Linked DNA regions of Mus musculus: all the other regions are reported to be linked to region 2. The links are microRNA targets in miRTarBase. Many come from high-throughput screens and were not tested one by one. Region 2 holds a microRNA gene; each other region holds the end of a gene's coding sequence.

The links. Region 2 holds the annotated microRNA mmu-miR-431-5p (UGUCUUGCAGGCCGUCAUGCA, at 1,054-1,074, shown strand). A microRNA usually pairs through its seed, bases 2 to 8, with sites in the 3' UTR of a target mRNA and lowers its output. Matches are read on the target gene's strand: a 7mer-m8 pairs with bases 2 to 8, a 7mer-A1 pairs with bases 2 to 7 and ends in A, and an 8mer does both.
Region 1: miRTarBase lists Tnfsf15 as a target of mmu-miR-431-5p. Seed matches in the 3' UTR shown: 7mer-A1 at 975-981, 7mer-A1 at 980-986 and 7mer-A1 at 2,467-2,473.
Region 3: the mRNA of Ppm1k is a reported target of mmu-miR-431-5p. Seed matches in the 3' UTR shown: 7mer-A1 at 2,836-2,842.
Region 4: the mRNA of Elfn1 is a reported target of mmu-miR-431-5p. Seed matches in the 3' UTR shown: 8mer at 2,505-2,512.
Region 5: miRTarBase lists Sc5d as a target of mmu-miR-431-5p. Seed matches in the 3' UTR shown: 7mer-A1 at 1,182-1,188.
Region 6: the mRNA of Rfxank is a reported target of mmu-miR-431-5p. Seed matches in the 3' UTR shown: 7mer-A1 at 1,252-1,258 and 7mer-A1 at 1,603-1,609.

The regions. Positions count from the first base shown.
Region 1 is chr4:63,726,893-63,730,004 of GRCm38, reverse strand. It overlaps Tnfsf15 (tumor necrosis factor (ligand) superfamily, member 15), which reads left to right. Exons shown (of 4, transcript NM_177371.4): 4 at 1-3,112. The coding sequence ends at 416. All of the region lies in intron 1 of Gm42294 (a long non-coding RNA gene), which reads right to left. Among named protein-coding and RNA genes, the nearest start is that of Tnfsf15, 17 kb to the left of the region's middle.
Region 2 is chr12:109,589,406-109,592,525 of GRCm38, forward strand. Mir431 (microRNA 431) reads left to right here and starts at 1,042; the gene lies at 1,042-1,132. It overlaps Rtl1 (retrotransposon Gaglike 1), which reads right to left. Exons shown (of 2, transcript NM_184109.2): 2 at 1-3,120. The coding sequence ends at 764. It overlaps 6430411K18Rik (RIKEN cDNA 6430411K18 gen), which reads left to right and starts at 2,132. Exons shown (of 1, transcript NR_002848.3): 1 at 2,132-3,120. It overlaps Mir433 (microRNA 433), which reads left to right and starts at 2,310; the gene lies at 2,310-2,433.
Region 3 is chr6:57,507,938-57,511,057 of GRCm38, reverse strand. It overlaps Ppm1k (protein phosphatase 1K (PP2C domain containing)), which reads left to right. Exons shown (of 7, transcript NM_175523.5): 7 at 209-3,120. The coding sequence ends at 340. Among named protein-coding and RNA genes, the nearest start is that of Ppm1k, 26 kb to the left of the region's middle.
Region 4 is chr5:139,973,393-139,976,512 of GRCm38, reverse strand. Elfn1 (leucine rich repeat and fibronectin type III, extracellular 1) reads right to left here. Exons shown (of 2, transcript NM_001384186.1): 2 at 1,788-3,120. The coding sequence ends at 2,784. Among named protein-coding and RNA genes, the nearest start is that of Elfn1, 67 kb to the right of the region's middle.
Region 5 is chr9:42,252,698-42,255,817 of GRCm38, reverse strand. It overlaps Sc5d (sterol-C5-desaturase), which reads left to right. Exons shown (of 6, transcript NM_172769.2): 6 at 21-1,641. The coding sequence ends at 476. Among named protein-coding and RNA genes, the nearest start is that of Sc5d, 10 kb to the left of the region's middle.
Region 6 is chr8:70,130,817-70,133,922 of GRCm38, reverse strand. It overlaps Rfxank (regulatory factor X-associated ankyrin-containing protein), which reads left to right. Exons shown (of 9, transcript NM_011266.2): 9 at 460-3,106. The coding sequence ends at 530. Nr2c2ap (nuclear receptor 2C2-associated protein) reads right to left here and starts at 2,596. Exons shown (of 5, transcript NM_001025586.2): 1 at 2,324-2,596; 2 at 1,915-2,005; 3 at 1,406-1,511; 4 at 1,269-1,336; 5 at 171-826. The coding sequence starts at 2,361. The coding sequence ends at 707.

The DNA.
Region 1 (3,112 bases), not on the chromosome of region 2:
TCTCTGCTCTACACTGGGAACATGACCTAGGGATGGCCTTCACCAAGAACGGGATGAAGTACATCAACAAATCCCTGGTGATCCCAGAGTCAGGAGACTATTTCATCTACTCCCAGATCACATTCCGAGGGACCACATCTGTGTGTGGTGACATCAGTCGGGGGAGACGACCAAACAAGCCAGACTCCATCACCATGGTTATCACCAAGGTAGCAGACAGCTACCCTGAGCCTGCCCGCCTACTAACAGGGTCCAAGTCTGTGTGTGAAATAAGCAACAACTGGTTCCAGTCCCTCTACCTTGGGGCCACGTTCTCCTTGGAAGAAGGAGACAGACTAATGGTAAACGTCAGTGACATCTCCTTGGTGGATTACACAAAAGAAGATAAAACTTTCTTTGGAGCTTTCTTGCTATAAGGAGGAGAAAACCATCATTCCAAGGGGCTCCCCTGCCTCCTACTTTCCAATTTCCTTTTCTCATATGGATCTATAAACAGGGGCTTTAGAGGGATCAGGGAAGGGGACAGTGGTTTAGCTATATAATTTAGGAACCCAATATTGATCCGTATATGCCTTATGGACTAAAATAGTAAATGGAAAACCCAGTACAGCTCATGTTTGATAGAGACCTGCTGGGTTTTAAAAATTGAAACACGCCTCATCCAATGGCACAATCTACTGATTTCAGGACAGAACCTTTCCACAGTGCCCTCTGTCCAAGTCCTTTCTGAATTCAGCAGTTCAGTTAGAGCTGAATTCGACAATGAACTTACTCCAGATCAAGAGCTAAAGACAGAATCCAAAGAAAGACTGAGAAAATGATGTTATTTCTCCAAGAGGCAATGCATTTCCACATTCTTTTGTGCCTAACCTAAAAAATAAGAAAGAAGAAAGGAAGGAAGGAAGGAAGGAAGGAAGGAAGGAAGGAAGGAAGGAAGGAAGGAAGGAAGGAAGGAAGGAAGGGACAAGAAAAGACAAGACAAGACAAGAAAAAAGAAAAAATGGTATTTCTCGTGAATATTCCCTAAAAGGAATTGGTTTTCTGCTGTGAAGGAGAAACCTCACCTTTCTTCTGATTGCATCCTTTAGTATCCAAACATACAAGTGGGAATTCCAAATGCACATGGAACATAGAACACTTTTATTATTGTGAGAACATGTTTATTGAGTACCTACTATGCTCTGGGCACTCAGCCCACAGGACCATGAAGAGAAAGTCAAATTTTCTTAAAAACTAAATGAATCCTCAATACATACTTCCTGATCAACTACCACTCAAAATGTATAACTTCCAAAGTATAACTTCAAGTCAGCCATCTAGGTGGTTTCTTGGGTAAAGGTGCTTGTCATTAAGCCTGACACCTGGGTTTGACCTCCCAGAACCCAAAAGCTGGAAGGAGAGAATTGGTTCCCACAAATTATCCTCAAACCCCCATACAAATGATGTGGCATGCACACATGTAACTAAATAAATAAGTGTAAAACAAAAACAAAAACAAAATTTTAAAGAAAAATTTCAAGTCCTGAAAGACAGCATTCCTGAGAATGTTGTCTCCATCGTTGTCCAGTATAGGCTAACCAGCTGATAGAGACACTGAAGGAATTTAAAGACAGACATCAAGTGAAATGGAGCACTGTAGAAACACTTGATTCATGCCAGGAGTCAATGTACTATGAAGACCAACAACAAAGTGTCAGTCATCAAATCCAGAGGTGTTTATCTAGATCTGCTTTCAAGTTTGGTTTGCAGCCTTTATATAGTCTCTATTACAAATGCTCGTGTCATGGTAGATGCCACAAGGAGTCAGAGGGTAAACTTAGCCCCAAACCACTGCTGAGCCATCTTCTAGGAAACCTTCGAAGCAGAGCTGGGCAGCGTGACTCCCACACAATGACTGGGAAAGTAGTAGCTGATCAAAATTTGTTGAGTAATAATTTGTTAGAAAATTCATCTCCACTGCCTACTAAACCTAAGTTGTATACTATCTAGCTTCTGCTAAGCCAACTTACATTGGCCACTTTTTCTGTCTTCAACTTCTTGAAGTATCACAGGTCTCAGTGAGAACACAGGGAAAGGTGAGGTCGCCTTCCCCTGGTTCTTCATAGGGGAAACCACACCTGAAAGAAGATGAGCAGCCTGAGGTGACCTGGAGGAAGGGCTGTCTCAGAAGAAGGACTTATTTTTTGGCTTAGGTCTAAAACCTTGAGAGTAATGCTCACTGGTCAATTGAGGATGCTTTATCAATGACTCCAGTCTGACTCCAAGGTCAGAAAGGAGAGTGAGATGCTCTCTCTGCCTGCATATATCTTCATGGAACATGAGAATATTGAGCAACATAGACTTATAGGAAAACACTTGCCCAAAAGTAGCCAGAGTGACCTGGTCATCCCCTCTACTAAACCCAAGCTTTGTGTCAAGGGCCTTCAAAGCTGCCCAGAAGTGATCTGGATGGCTTGGGAATTTATCCAAGACAGGAATTTCCTGACAGCCAAAGATGCTTGAGTCCTTGTGCCTGACATGCATTTATTTTGCCCCTGTTTATTGAAGACTGTAACTGTTGATTTGTGGGTATACATACATACATACATACATACATACATACATACATACATATGCTGTCATGAAGGCAGCATCAAACATTACTAATTGGACTCAAACCAGCATTTCTGTTTCCAAGATACTAAGTATTCCCATGCAAACAGGAGCATGCTATTTTTCTAAAGCAAAATGAAAAAAATAGTTTTGAAAGTATATATATGATGGAGTCAAGTGTAATGGCATACATCTGTAAACCCAGCACATGGGATGCTGAGCCAGGAGGATTGCCGTGAGTTTGAGGAGAACAGGGGCTAAATAGTAATTTTCAGGAAAGCCTTGCCTATATAACAAGACCTTGTCTCAAATGAAAAAAAAAAAAAAAATAGACCCCAGGCTGGTCCTTGGAGATAAGGTAATATATTCATTGGGTGAGGGGGTGTGTGTTTTGGAAAATAGTTAATTTAGTGAGAAATGCTTTTCGGTCAAATGCATCTCAAAGGCTGCTGAATTCAAATCGGGTCTGTAAATGCTTACCTAGTGCTTGCTTGCCCTGGGGACAGAGACATAAATTACT
Region 2 (3,120 bases):
CCATTTGGGGAGGGAAAAGGGAGCCCCACTTGGTTGCTACCACCCTTTCTTGGGTCCTCTGAGTCTCAGGGACCTTCAGGGTGGATCAGTCCATCTGGTAAGTCACACTGGTACGTCGAATGCTCCTTGGAGCAGTTCTGCCCAGGTAAGATCAGAGTTCAGGGTCAGATGAGGTGTCAATGGAGCCGGACCAGACCGGTAGTGGGTGGGTGGGTTGTGGGGGGGGGGGTGGACTTGCTTGCAGGGTGGGCTGGGGTTGTGGAAAGCATGGAACCACAGCACCTTGGGAGACTGGGAGGGAGTAGGGGCGTGTCCAGGGGAGTCGGAGCACCGGTGTAGAGGTAGAAGTCCGTGGAGCACCCAAGGTCAGTGTCCCAGGATGCACAGGTGGCCGCCTGCCACTCAGGGGGTGGTGGTGGGGTCACTGGCATCTGCTTGCTTGGCTGCACCTGCTGTATCTGCTCTGCATCTGGCCTGGGGTGACGGGGTCACTGTTGCTCATCACTGCTCTCTCCTCATTGGTCTCACTCCCTTTTGTGGGCCTGGGGCCCGGACAGTTAGGACAGTTAGGGTTACACAGTCTTGGCTGGTTCTGGGACGCTGATAGTTGGCTAGTTCTTTAGCACAGATGATGTTGCTGGTTGATGAAGTTGTGGCCCTTCACAAGTGGGTTCCCCTTGGGTTAGGAGTAGCAAGAGGGTGTGCTGGATCTGAGCGAAGCTGGCCGAGGCACAAGGGAAAATGACAGTGACTTGGTGTGTTTTCAGTCAAGTTCATCATCTGAGTCTGATAGCTCTTCTAGCCTTGCCTGTTCCCTGGCTGGGGAAGGCAGCGCCATTCTGGAGGCCATGGCCAGGAATCGTGTGAGGGCCTGGGCCACCTGATCTCTGCTAAGCAGAGTAAGGCGGCCATCGGTGCCCAGGGTGTAGAGTAGCCGGTTGTTGAGGAAATCTAGGACCTCTGGGTCCAAAAGATTTCGTGGTCTGAAGGTGACCGCTTCCTGGTCGCCAAACAGGTCCTCTTGCACGTCGTTGTCCTGCGCGTCCTGCGAGGTGTCTTGCAGGCCGTCATGCAGGCCACACTGACGGTAACGTTGCAGGTCGTCTTGCAGGGCTTCTCGCAAGACGACATCTTCATCCCCAACGACGTGCAGTTCCAAGTACCGGTGCTGGTAAGGGTCAGGAAAGACGTCATCCTCAGGGTTGACTCTGACCCCAAAGAACTCACACAGGGTCAACCAGAACCCAGGGGTGAAGCGCATCCCCCGTGGAGGCTGGGAATGCAGAGCATTCCGATGCCAGCACCTTGGGCCCAGGAAAAGCTCAGCCAGCTCTCGAGCTGGGAGGGTGTTGGCACCCACTAGAGGGGGCATCTGGCTGAGCAACTGAGCGATGGCTGTGGCCATGCCACTACTCGCAATGAGGGTCGAGTCCAGGATGAGTCGGAGTGTGTGCCGGTGCTGAGGCCTGGCCACTTCCAAATTAGGGGCAGGCACTGGGGAGAGGGGCTGCCTTGCTCTCAACATCACCAGGACAGCTGCCACACCCAGGAGACTCTTCCAGTAGAGCAGGCCACGGAAGAAGTTTAGGACAACGGCCCGGATCTGGGCCACACTGAAGTGAGCCAGTAAGCCATTGAGGATATGGTCCATCGGGATGGCAGCCAGTAGCTCCCGCACCATGCTGGGCACCTCCTCATCTTCTTCCTCCTCATCCTCTTCTTCCTCATCTTCCTCCTCCTCTTCTTCCTCCTCTTCCTCCTCCTCCTCTTCTTCCTCCTCTTCTTCCTCCTCTTCCTCTTCCTCCTCCTCTTCCTCCTCATCCTCTTCTTCCTCCTCTTCCTCCTCTCCTTCTTCCTCCTCCTCTCCCTCCTCCTCCCCTTCTTCTTCTTCACCATCTTCCTCCTCCTCCCCTTCTTCTTCTTCACCATCTTCCTCCTCCTCCCCTTCTTCTTCTTCACCATCTTCCTCCTCCTCCCCTTCTTCTTCTTCATCATCTTCCTCCTCCTCCTCTTCTTCTTCACCATCTTCCTCCTCCTCCCCTTCTTCTTCTTCACCATCTTCCTCCTCCTCCCCTTCTTCTTCTTCACCATCTTCCTCCTCCTCTTCTTCATCATCCTCTTTATCCTCAGTCTCAGAGGATCTGTCAAAGTACCTTAGATTTGCCCTAATGGACATAAGCAGCAGTGGGCGCAGAAACCTTGCTCTGAAGCCTCTCTGGTTCCAACATCTGCGGAAGAGTGCTTGTGTGTCACCTTCAGCTGGCATCTCCATAACACCAAAATTGAAGTGTGAGAAGAAGAAGACCCAATGCCCGGGGAGAAGTACGGTGAGCCTGTCATTATTCAGAGAGGCTAGATCCTCTGTGTTGAGAAGGATCATGATGGGCTCCTCGGTGTTCTCCAGGTAGCGGCACCACACCATGAAGGCAGCCCGGATTGGAAGGATCCTCATCTCCACTCGAGGGTACTCCACCTCCATTGTAGAGAGGGGTCTTGAATAGAAAGCACAGGTAGATTTCTTGCCAGTTTCGTCGTCGGTTTGGACCAGGGAGGCAGACAGGAATGACCCAGTGATGTCTGTTTCCAAGTAGAATGGGTTCTGAGGCTTAGGGTGATAGAGAACGGGCGACTTGCGGAAAGCCCTCTTCAGGGATTCCAAGGCCTCCTGCTCCTCTTCTCCCCAGTAGTAGGGCTCTGAACTCAGCAGTTGTCTCACTAGGGGTGCTGCGATGACAGCGAAGTTCTCCACGAAGTGGCGATAGGGATAGACAAGGTCAATCACACTTTGAAGACACCTCCTGCTGCCAGGGACAGGGCACCCCACGATGAGGTTCATAAGGTTCTTGTTCAGTTTCACCCCTTTGGGGGATATGTTGAAGCCCAAGATTTCAGCGGTCTGGCGATGGAACTGAGTTTTGTCCAGTGAACAGTAGATGTTGTGATACCGAAAGCGGACCAGGACTTGGCGGACATGCTGGGAGTGTTCCTCCTGGCTCATTGAGTAGACCAGGACCTCTCTGCCATGGCAAATCACAAACAACCCTAGGATGTCTTTTAGGATGAAGTGAACAATGTTGTTCCCTTCGTCAGAGTATGAGTTCATTGTGAAGGGCCGGTAGC
Region 3 (3,120 bases), not on the chromosome of region 2:
GATATAGTTGAACCATCTGAAATTCATATGCACTTAATAACCATATGGCACATGGTTACAGGGTGAAACCATTCCAAACCTTGTTAGGTAGTTACATTTGTATCGTAAAGTGTGTGTAGAACCAGTTGGCCTTCCAGAGAAAGGATGCTGTGTGATTGCACAAGGTCCCTTGACTCCAGCGCCTGTCTCTTCTTCCCCACTCCTGCAGGCAATACAGTACGGTACCGAAGACAACAGCACTGCAGTAGTGGTGCCCTTTGGTGCTTGGGGAAAATACAAGAACTCTGAAATTACCTTCTCATTCAGCAGAAGCTTTGCCTCCAGTGGGAGATGGGCCTGATCGACAGCTCAGACTCGGAGTTCCTATGCAGCAGTGTCAGTGGGCTTATCAAGAAACTGGTAACACACAGAAGGCCACCTGTACCCGTGTGTCATTGTGACTGATCGATCCTAACAGTATAAGCTTACCAGCCACATACCCAGTAGTATTTTCATAAATCCTCATCATCATTATGGTCAACTGCACATGCTCAGTGTAAGCATCATAACACAGCTGTGAAGCCGCTGTGCATCTCTGAGCTGAATGGGAGAAGAAGCGGTTTTGGTCCATTTGATGAGTGATGAATCTGTGTTTCCTTTGTAAGGCTAGAGATTGAATCTGGGGCTTTCTAAGTTTTTAAGACTAAGAGGCAGATTTAGTTTCTTTTTAGTAAGTTTGTTCTTTATTCAGTTGGACAGGTATTTTTTTTTTTGAATTTTGATAGCTGGTCAATGTGTTATTTGCAAGTGTTCCTTTTTCCTTTCTCTGTAGAAAGCAGGTTTTCACTGGCTGACCTTGAACTCCTGGGTTCAAATGGTCTTCCTAACGTCAGCTTCCTGAGTACCTTTTAATTTTTTTTTTTTTAAAGCAGAACAAGCATATTTTTTCCCAAGAAGAGTGAGAACATATACCTAGGAGATGGGGGCATTCCAAGGGAGGGATACAAGGGATATAAGAGATAAAGGGATACAAGGTACATTTTAATAAATGTACCTAGGAGTTATAATAAAGCCTAGGTTCTCTATGACTGAATAGTGTACTCTGGATCACTTATTAGTAAATTTAACCCTGCAAAATACATGGCTAAAGTGTATACATATTTATAAATAGCTCTCTTGTGTATTTTAAATATTTTTAGCACTTCCCCATCCATTTCTATTTTTGTGGAGTTAAATATGCTATATATTGGTAACTGTTCGGTAAGCTCCAGAGAAGAATATTCTGAGGCTTTGGTCAAAATCTGTAAAGTGAAACACTGACAGTGCCAATCTTGTGTAAGTTTGTTGCTGTGTGGTTTGTATGTAGCGTTTTTATACCACTTTCTGTGCACACAGTAAGCGAGTTGGGGCCTTTGTTAGTAAAGATAATATTACAATGACTTATACTGCTATAGACATAGCTTGGGGTTTATGTCTCCAATTTCCTCATTTCTAAGATTCATGCGGAAAAAAAAATCTTTTACAAAGGATATTCAAACATGTCAGCTTGCTATGTAAATTAGGGGTGTAAAACCACACTCCTTTTTACCTGCATATAAAATTACTGTCAAACTGTGAATCCCTGAATGTGTGCTTGTAGTTAATCTATATTTTCACAGGGTAATTTAAATTTAGTATATGTGCAGTGAGTGTATATATGTATATTTTGAAGTAATATAAAATTAAAGGGAACAATCTTGTGGCGCATTTATCAGCTAGCTGTAAATTATTGATATATTTATCTCTAAGGACACTCAATAACATTGAGTGTCAAATTCTCTGTAATAAAGATTCAGTTGTTACTGGTAGATAACCACTATGGATTACAAATAAATATGGGGGCCAGTATTGGTGGCCTCTACCTATAATCTCAGGACTTAAGGAGGAGACAAGAGAATCGGGATGGTAACTTTGAAATTAGCCTGAGCTACAGAGCAAGTTCCACGGTAGCCTGAGCCACAGCTTGTCTCCCCGAACAAAGTATCAGCAACAAATGGCTGTAAGAGACATTTTATTAGGTGTCACGTATGTGGATAACCAAAGAACAGAGGCAGACATATCGTTGTGTGGTAATTCGAATATAAAGTTATGGGATATGAGAAGAACAGGAAATGTCAAAAGTGACTTGGAATTTTATGGCAGAAAACAAAGGAAAAATAATGAAATATATATACCTTCAAGTCTGACATGTTTTCTGCCTTTAACTTTTGTTTAAAATATTTAGTAGAAATAAAGAATAAGTTCTCAATAAAGAATTTAAGGGGGCTGGTGAGATGGCTCAGTGGTTAGGAGCACCCGACTGCTCTTCCGAAGGTCCAGAGTTCAAATCCCAGCAACCACATGGTGGCTCACAACCATCCGTAACAAGATCTGACTCCCTCTTCTGGTGTGTCTGAAGACAGCTACAGTGTACTTACATATAATAATAAATAAATCTTTAAAAACTAAAATTAAATTAAATTAAAAAAAAAAGAATTTAAGGTCTTTTCATGGATGTCAGTTGAAAGAAACAATGCTTTTCCAGACATGTTAGCTTACATGTGCAGTTCCAACATCTGGGGAGGCTGGGGCACAGTCATCCTGAATAGCAAGAGCCCAGGTCAAGGGACAAAATACACGGAAGAGAGTAGAGGACGTGCTCACTGTCCGAGGAAGAATGGGGAGACTAGCAGAGCTTAAAGGCCTTCTTGTTGAGTCTGGTGTTGAAAAGTTATGAAAACAACGTGTTTGTTTGTTTGTTTGTTTGTTTTTTTGTTTGTTTTTTGGTTTTGGTGTTTTTTTTTTTTGGTGTTTTTTTTTTTTTTTTTTTTGGTTTTTCAAGACAGGGTTTCTCTGTGTAGCCCTGGCTGTCCTGGAACTCACTTTGTAGACCAGGCTGGCCTTGAACTCAGAAATCTGCCTGCCTCTGCCTCCCAAGTACTGGAATTAAAGGCATGTGCCACCACATCCTGGCTTGAAAACAACTTTTAAGAGTATGGAGAACTTGTAAACTAATATGCACAACAAAATTCTCAAACATTAAAAATGACAACGTGGTGTGTCTTATTTGTTTCTGTTTTGTGTTCTTCACATTGCTGGTCTCCCTCCCCCCTTTACTTTGAA
Region 4 (3,120 bases), not on the chromosome of region 2:
TCTAATGAGGATATGAAGCTGTGTGGGTTTCTGTCACCAGCTCACACTCAGTTCAGAGTTGACTCCATCAACCCCTGAGAGACCCTGGGAGACTAGGTAGGCACTACTGCCTGAGCACCAGCAGCTGAGCATCCTGCCCCTGCCTCCTGCCTCCTGCCTCTCTGCCCTCACCCCTCTCTGGACCTATGATTCTTCCACCAAACCCCATCTTGGTGCCAGTTCTCTCTGTCCTGGTCCCCCTATAAATAGCCATTTTGTCTCCTTGGCGACAGGGAATGTATCGAGCAAGCCTGGCCACCTTCTTTTGTCCTGTAACCAGAATGGCGGCCACTGAGTGGCTAGGTACCCCTGAGCAGAAAAATTGTCCCTCTCTGGGCCTCCATCACCAGCTCTGGAGCCTACATTTCCCCTCTGGGTGTGACCATACTGGACCACCTATGGCTCCCCATTTGGGAGGGTACAGAGCAGGGAGGGGCCTGTTAGGCCAGACAAGAAAGAACAGGGCATGAAGTTCTTGAAGGGGGCCCATTTAAAGGGTATACTGGCGAGGTACCTGTCAAGTGTACCTTGGTTAGGTATCCAGTGTGGGCTCTGTGTGGGCTTCTATGCTCCCCTCCGGGGACCCAGGAGACCAAACTGGACCCTGGAGCTGTGTGGATCTAAGGAAGGTGGCTAAAGTTGGAGGGGAAGATGACCTCCCATTCCTAGGAGTATGCAAGCAGAGGCTGTTGATCCACGGCTGCCCCCAGCCCCTGGAGGTCTCCCCCACCCTCTCTGCCCTCATCTCCAGCCAAACTGGGATCTAGGCCTTCCCCACAGCTCATCAGACACCGAAGCCTGCTTCTTTTCACAACTCTTCAGGCATCTCCTTGGATCCGGGATGTCGGTGTCTTGCTAGGTCTTTGTCAGCAGTCCATGTTAGGAATTGTTTTCCATGGGCGGGGAGCCCTCAGTCCTAGGGCCTTAAGGGGAATGAGGGGAAGGTCCTCAAACCAGTTTGGGAACATTGGTTGGGAGACATGCCTCCTGGCTGCTCAGGTGGGAGAATAGCCTCGGGGTTCCATGGGTATGAAGGAACAAGGTGTACCTTCCCAATACAGCATTAAACCTCTCTGGAAGATACCAGCCTTGGGTGTGGTGATCACAGCACTGGGCTAGAGGGACGTAGATGGTGTATGTTCTTGATAACAGGTGACTGCAGTCTCAGTAACAGGAAGTACTGAGGTTAGCCTCGGAGCAGGACTTACTTCTATCAGTTCTAGAAAGACCAAAGCTACTCACCTCCCCCCACACCCCCCGTGGATGGGACCACCCAGAGAAGGCCACATGAGAGAGAATGGGGTGAGAGGCAAGGGCTGGTGGTGGGAGAATGAAGGCTGGCTTTGTGTTGTAGGGAAAGGAGGCGTCTCCATGTGGGCGGTGCTCTGGGTATAGAAGGGCACACAGACACACCCTGTAACCATTGCACCCTAACCAATTCCACCATGACCACCATGTTCAGAGGAGCCCCTGTTTGTCCCTGTTTGTCCCCACCCCTCAGCTACTAGGTCTGCACACAGGCCCTGGCATAGCCACACCCTCCTCAGCCTCCTCCTGCCTCTAGCTTCTGACCCATTCACACTTGTTCCTGCCCTCAAAGAGGCTGGACACTTCCTTGCCCAGTGTGAGCCACAACTTTTCCCATAGGCTCCCACTGAGCCCATCAAAGCCACGATCCACAATTGCTTGCCTAAATGGGACCCTGAACCACCACTACTACCCCAGTAAAAACCCACAGAACACATGTATTTGGATTTTTTTTCCTTTGCAGATTTTTTTTAGTAGACATAGTCTTTTTTTCTCTCTCTCATTTTACAGCAAACTTTGCAAATATAGATTTTTTTTTCTGTACAATAGAACAGCTACAGTGTACAATAAAGATGGGGTCGAGGTGGAGGGACCACACAATGTTTCCCAGCCTGCACCCCTCTTGCCACCCTGACTGGTCCCCAGGCACAGTCTTCACCTCCCCACTAGAGTCTCACAGGCTCCAGATGCTCCACCCCTCTGCACTCCACAGCCTGGGAGATCATATTTAGGGGGTGCCATGAAGCTGGCTAGACTTGGTCACATGCCCCACGCTAGGTGATTTAGTTCTTTCTTCTTTCTCTCTCTTTTATTTTTTTTAAAGATTTTCACTTTTATATATATATTTTTTAAAAAGGAAGAAAATAAAGAGAGAGAAGAAGGAAAAGGAAGAGAAGACTCAAAACAGGAAAGATAATGGAAAAACTTCCCCTCCCCCACCCCCACCCGTAAGACACAGTTTTCCGAAGTCCCATGTGTGCATGTGTGTGCATGTGCATGTGTGAGTGTGTGCAAATGTTTGTGTGTGCACGCGCACATGCATGTGTGTGCATTTGTGTGTGTGAATGTATGTGTGAGTGTAAGTGTGTGAATGTGTGAGTGTATGTGAGTATGTGAGTGTGTGAGTGTGTGTGTGTGTGTGTGTGTGTGTGTGTGTGTGTCTTGCTTGCTTGCACCAGGCAGCAGGCACATTACAGTTTACATGGAAGTTAGTATATCTACTGTCTCGGCCACCTGCGGCCTCCCCAAGCTGTCCCTGTGGGCCAGGTGCTGTATGCAGCGGCCCCTGGTTGTGCACATATGTTGGATTTAGTGTTAAGTCTCAGTCAGGGATAGCTGCTGTGGGTGGTCTATCCTTTTTGGTCCAATGGGCATCACGAGTTTCGGAGAGGACAGGGCCAGGCTTCCTTGGGCCCTGCCAAAGGGTGGAGGGAGGTTCAGGACTTGTGCTGGGCAGACACGCCTTTCCAGTAGTCTAGGATGTCATGCAGGTCCTCGTCTTTGGCAAACTGAACCTTCTTGCGCAGGGCGTGGCCAGCCGCCATGAACTCCGCATCATCCTTGTGTCTCCGTCGGCTCAGTCTGAGACGCTCCCAGATGCTTGGGGATGCCCTGCAGGTGTACTCGGGGCTGGATGAATAGCTCAGGTTGTGGTACTGTGGGGACAGCTGCGAGTAGACGAGGTCTCGGGGTCGTGGCCGGGTCAGAGGCTCCAGGATGGATGCCTTGCGGCCACCCAAGCCCTCGTGAGTGGGTGGAGGTGGTGGAGGGGCA
Region 5 (3,120 bases), not on the chromosome of region 2:
CGTATCCCTTTCTCCCTCAGCGCATACATAAACCACATCATATTTGGAAGATCCCCACGCCGTTTGCAAGTCATGCTTTTCACCCTGTGGACGGCTTCCTTCAGAGTCTGCCTTACCATATATACCCCTTTGTCTTTCCACTGCACAAGGTGGTCTACTTAGGTTTATATGTCTTGGTTAATGTCTGGACAATTTCTATTCATGATGGTGATTTTCGGGTTCCCCAGATCTTAAGGCCATTTATTAACGGGTCAGCTCACCACACAGACCACCACATGTTCTTTGACTATAACTATGGACAGTATTTCACATTGTGGGATAGAATTGGAGGCTCTTTTAAACATCCTTCCTCTTTTGAAGGGAAAGGACCACATAGTTACGTGAAGAACATGACAGAAAAAGAATCTAACAGCTTTGCAGAAAACGGCTGTAAAGGCAAAAAAGTAGGCAATGGAGAGTTTACAAAGAATAAGTAGATTATTGCCCAGTTATTAACTATTTTAAATAAGAAAATAATCTACACAGTCAAGATACCTAGCAAATAAGTGGTGCCATTGGAATGTCAGCATTGCTTGAGTGTCATGCTGAGGGATGGTCCTGACAGTAAACAGCGGGAAGACACCGGGAGCATTGTAATCGCTTGGTTAATTGTCCGACATTGGTCCAGGAACAACTTGTCTTTTCAGCCGGCTGACCTGCAGCCTGTACAGCTCTGAAGCATCTTTAAATACGATAGAAAATAAGCTACTCAAGAAGCTGGTCTGTGTCCTTTTGCCTTAGTCCATGCATACTCATTAAGGAAAAAAAGTACCATTGTGCTAAACGCTACTGAGACTAACCAGGAAACCCTAACGATGAAGATGGTCCTGTCCCGGGAGCGGCTGGCTCCACCGAAGTGCTGGGGAGTTGCAGGACTTCATTCAAATAGGAATATCAGTCCAAGCAAGCTGATACGTGAGTGGCAGTGGATAGGATTTGCTTAATGGCTGATGTAATAAGATTGTACTTCCTATACAGAGGCACCTTACTCTCTGGGGCATTATCAGATTTTAATAAATGAATAAATAAATGGTATTTTTTTTAAATGTCAGCTCTTCCATAATTCAGTCTAGATAGGAGATTATTTAACTGAAGATCTTGGTGAGTGTCATTTTTTTTTCTTTTTTCTTTTTTTGGTTTTTCAAGACAGGGTTTCTCTGTGTAGCCCTGGCTGTCCTGGAACTCTGTAGACTGGGCTGGCCTCGAACTCAGAGATCTGCCTGCCCTTGCTGGGATCAGAGGTGTGCACCACCACTGCCCAGCTTGAAGTGTGTCATTTAAAACCACTGTTTAATAACCCTACAGACATGAATCTGGATAATGCTAGGTATAAACTTGTGGCACCCAGTGACATCTTTTTTTAATCAAGTGGACACACTTTTGATGTATTTCTCAGTTACAAAGCTGACTTTTTTTTAATGAAGGGAATAATTGCCAAGTACTTAAATCTACCTGAGGTACACTTTTAAACCTCATCTTCTATTTCTTCCCTCTCTTCTGCAAATGAACAAAACAAAACATAAAGGTGGTTGTTGTAAGCTAAGTATATTTGTGGAGGGAGAAGATATGTTTTTATAAAGTTATTCTAATGGCTATTTGTGCAAAAAAAAAAAACACCAATAAAAGTTGATCATAACTGCTATTATCCACTTAAATGTTATAGCACAAAACGTCCTTTGTGCATTGGGGTCACTTTGAAGGCGTAGAGGTGATGTGGGTTATAAAATCTGACAGCATCCCAGATGCTCAGAGTCACACTGCACTGTGTGCAAACATCACTCATTGCAACCGTCTCTTTCTCATTTGTTAGTTGACTTTACCAAGTGCTCTAAGGAAGTGGAAACCAGAAGGAACGAAGCTCTGTGTTAGGATCTAGGCTTCCCATTTCTTGGGTACAACCCACTAGAACCCTGGGGTTTGAATACATCAGCATCACTAAGACATGGACTGATTAGGATGTTGGATGAATCTGGCACCTAGCTCTTAGCAGTGTGCTGTGCATACAAAAGGATCCTTAAGATACACTGTTTGGTACTACATCAAGGAACGGTAAACCCCATCCCACCACCACCACCAAATGGGACATCTCCATCATCCCTAACCCCCGAAGGAAGAGGAGGCAGAGAGATTGAGAGCAGAGACCAGGGAAGATGCTGCAAGTCTCTAGACATGAGGGGGCCTTTGTGCTCGTAAGCTCACTATAGCTGTGGCTGTCGATATATGAACCAGCCAGTCAGCATTCCAGAGTGGTTGGGGTCATGGATGGGGTGTGGGGGTTGAGAGGGTCCCACCTCCAGCTGGGAGCTTTTGACAGTTGATGATTGCTTGAGAAGGGAGAGTCCGTTTGCAGTGGTGCAATCTCTAAGTTGCTTTTGCACCACTGGGTTACCTCCCAGGCCAAGGCCTGTTCTGATTGGACTCTGGCTTATAAAGTAAAAGAAGATAGGAAAATTGGAGAGGGATGAGGAGGGGTCTGGGGAAGTTTGGGTATGAGAAAGGTAGAGTGGATATGATCGAAATGCGAGGGGTGTGTATGTGTGTGTGTGTATAATAAAGAATAGCTAAATAAAATTTCAGAGGCACCTGAGCGTTTAGCCTTCAGTTTCACCTCAGGAGTCCCCAAGAGTTAGGACATGTGAGTCAGAGCAGTTGCCCTTCGCACCCTTGCTCTCTCCCACCCACGGGGGCTGAGTCGCTGCCGCCCAGTAGGATCAAGCACAAAGACGGTGGCTCCTGTTTTCTGGGTTCTGTGATGGTTGAGGTCGGTCTTCTGCTAGGCCCTCAGTAGGAGTTCGGTGGAGGAGCCTGCCCTCCCTTCATGCTGGAGGGTGAAAGACATGAAGATGAGTTACAGAAATATGTAAGTAAAATCGAAAACAAGACACTGATCACTGTGAATTATCTTGAATGGGATAAAATTGCTAGTATTTTTGTTGCTGTAGCATTCTTTTTAAAAATGTGCCATAAACAGTCTATAGTAAAATTGAGAGACAAAAATAGAAGCCTGTCTTTACCCTGAAATAGAATAAACTTCCTAAGAAGGGCAGGAAGGCTTTACCAGGGTTTGGTAGAGGAAGAAAA
Region 6 (3,106 bases), not on the chromosome of region 2:
CTCTGGGGGACACAGACACTCGGAGATACAAACAGCACCATCCAGGCCCAGGGTGGGCGTAGTCTTGGTTATCACCTCCACCCACATCCACACATTGTTCCTCTTGGTGGTGGGGTGGGCATCCCAGACTTCCATTCCTGTTGCTGTAACAGAGTACCACAAATGGGGTGTTTGGTTTTTTTTAACATTTTATTTGGACTCATGGTTCTGGAGGCAGAGAGAGCTACAATTCGGAGGGTGGGTGGGATACAGGAGTGAAGGGAGACAGGCAAACCTTGCCTTAAAGCAACCTATTCTCAAGGTAGTGAGCCCAGCCCAGCAAGAACAGAAAAGCAGAAAAGCACTTGGCTGGACAGTTTCCTGCTCACGGCCTCCTGTTTACATCAGAGGCTGAGCATCTTCTTCAGTCCCTTCTTCCCGGCTCCCCCAGCTCACCCCTCCTCCCACCTCCTCCCACAGTGCAACAGGTGATGGAGAGCCACATCCTCAGATTGTTCCAGAGCACCCTGGGGCCTGTGGACCCCGAGTGAAGACAGCCTGCTGGGAACCCAGGCACTCAGGGACAGTCAGCCCACAACTGGCTTGAAAGGCAGCTCCTGGACAGTGGTGGGAAGAGCCCTCCGCAACAGGAACCAATAAATCTGTGCAGAACTTGAAGGTCTTCAGGGTGCCTCCCAGGGGGGCTTCCTGGAAGAATAGCCGCTTCTCACCCTGCCTTCTCACCCAGCACCCGCAGGTGGTAGATGACTACACGGCCAAAAAAGTCGGTGGTGTCCTCAAAAGTCAACTTCAGTCGGTCCACCTCCATTGTGGGGATGGAGAAGGTGTGACTTCTTGCAGTCAAGGAAATGGTGGTTTTATCTCTGACCCATCAGGCCCCACCTTCCCAGTCCAGAGACCACCCGATGGGCCACTGACTAAAGGCTCTTGATTCTCATACCCAGCAAGAAATCAATAGCACCTTTTTTTCTTTTTCTTTTAAATATGGGGGTCTCAGGTAACCCAGGCTGGCCTCAAACTGTAGTTGAGGCTGACCTTGAACTCCTGATCTTCCTGCTGCCCCTCCAGGGCACTAAAGCACAGAGAAGCAGTTCCTACTCCTGCGGAGGAGGTCAAAGCTTTGATTCTTTTGAGACAGGGTCTGGTCCAAGCTGGCCTGGCATTCTGGATCCTCCTGCCCCAGCCTCCCCAGTGCCATTACCACCACACCCAAAGACCTGAAGCTTGTAGAAAACCAGATCCCTCCCACCACAAGACAGGCAGGATATCTGAAGGGCATTGGTGTCCTCAGGGTAGAAATCTACAATCTTGCTGAGTGCCTCCCCACCCCGTGAACCTGCAATGGAGAAATGGGCTAAGAATCCAGGGAACCCTGTGGACACCCCACCTCTCAGCTTTCTTGTACCTTCCAGGCAGCTGTGGCGACTGGAGAAGCCACCCTGGAACTGCACCTGCAGCTGTGTGATCTGAACACACTGGGGAAACTCGAGTGACACCCACTGGGAGGGGCCCTGGAAGCAGAGGGATAAACTGAGGCACTTGGTAACTGCAAGGTTAGGGCCCTATGATGTTCTGTTCATCTTTCTTTCTTTTTTTTTTCCCCAAGACAGGGTTTCTCTGTGTAGCTCTGGCTGTCCTGGAACTCACTTTGTAGACCAGGCTGGCCTCGAACTCAGAGATCCACCTGCCTCTGCCTCCCAAGTGCTGGGATTAAAGGCGTGTGCCACCACTGCCCGCCTTTTTTGTTTGTTTGTTTTTTGTCTGTTCATCTTTCAAGTGTCACTGCCACGGCCAGCACAGGAAGGGTACAAGCACACTGTGCTTTCTAGTCTCCCCAGAGATCTCAAGGCACCCTGTAACCTTGCATCTTCTACACCCCTACACTTGGAATGAAGGGGTATAGAAGCACCTCACCTGGTCAGAGTTCCAGCACGTCTCTTCATCCTGGTCAAAAAGATGTTTCTTTCCAAATTGCCGGCTGTTGCGATTGAGCACAGAACTGACCCTGCAGGACAGGACCAGGTTAGGGGCCTCAACACTTGGACATCCTTGCTGTGAGCCACCCACCAGGCCGGCCGGCCCCACACCCAAGAACTCTGCTACCAACAGCCAGGAACTTAACTACCAGACCGCACCCCCAGCCAGGGAACAGATGCACCAGGCAACACACCACTTAAACCACGGGACTCTACCACCTGGCTCCGCCCCCAGGCTGCTCCAGGTTCCTGATTCTGGACCCCAGCTAGCTGCCATCTGGGCCTCGTCTCCACAACTCAGCTCCCAGTTCTTCCGCCCCCGCGCCCAGATCTACACTGAGTCTCACCTGCTCACAGTGTCCGGACAAACCAAAGACTGAGTCATCACAGTTCTAGGATGACTCGCGGAACGCGAGTTCGAAGCCCGGCGCTGCCACTCCCAACTTGATCTAGCGGCCACACTCCCTACCCCCGGCCACCTCTATATGACAAGGTGGGCGATCTGGGAACCGGAGGAACACTAAAAGCAGCTTTCTAAACCAACCGAGCCCCAGCGGCTCTGCAGATCTACGAACCCGGAACCGCGTGCGGATAGCGCACGCGCAGTGCTACACAGACACTGTTCCGTTCGCGGGGCCGGGGCGGGGTTTATGGCACCTCCCCTTCGCCTCTTAAAGGGCCCTCACACTGAGGTTTCTGGTTCTGTTGAACTACACACCTAGTGGCTACAAAATGTTCCCATGGCCTTCCTGTGATCATGTCTACCTGCAGAAGGCCTTGCTCGCCGTGGATGCAGCTTGGGAGCCCTGCACCCCATTGCCTTCCAAAGAGGCCAAAATAAATGTTGAAGAGGCCGTGCTACTGGGTGCATCAGTCACCCCCAGCCCTTGCGTCCTGCTCCGACCCTAAATCCATCTCCTGCAGGGCTTACGTTTCATGCTAACATGGACAGTAGCAGATCTGCCTAATATATTTTTGAGACAGGGTCTCGTGTAGATTTGGCTGCCCGGAATTTGCCTCGCAGGTAATGGCCGCCTAGACTCCCAGAAATCCTCCTGCCTCTGCCTCCTGAGCCCTGGGATTAAAGGCATGCACCTTCACGCCCCGTATTGGGATTAAAGTATATTTTT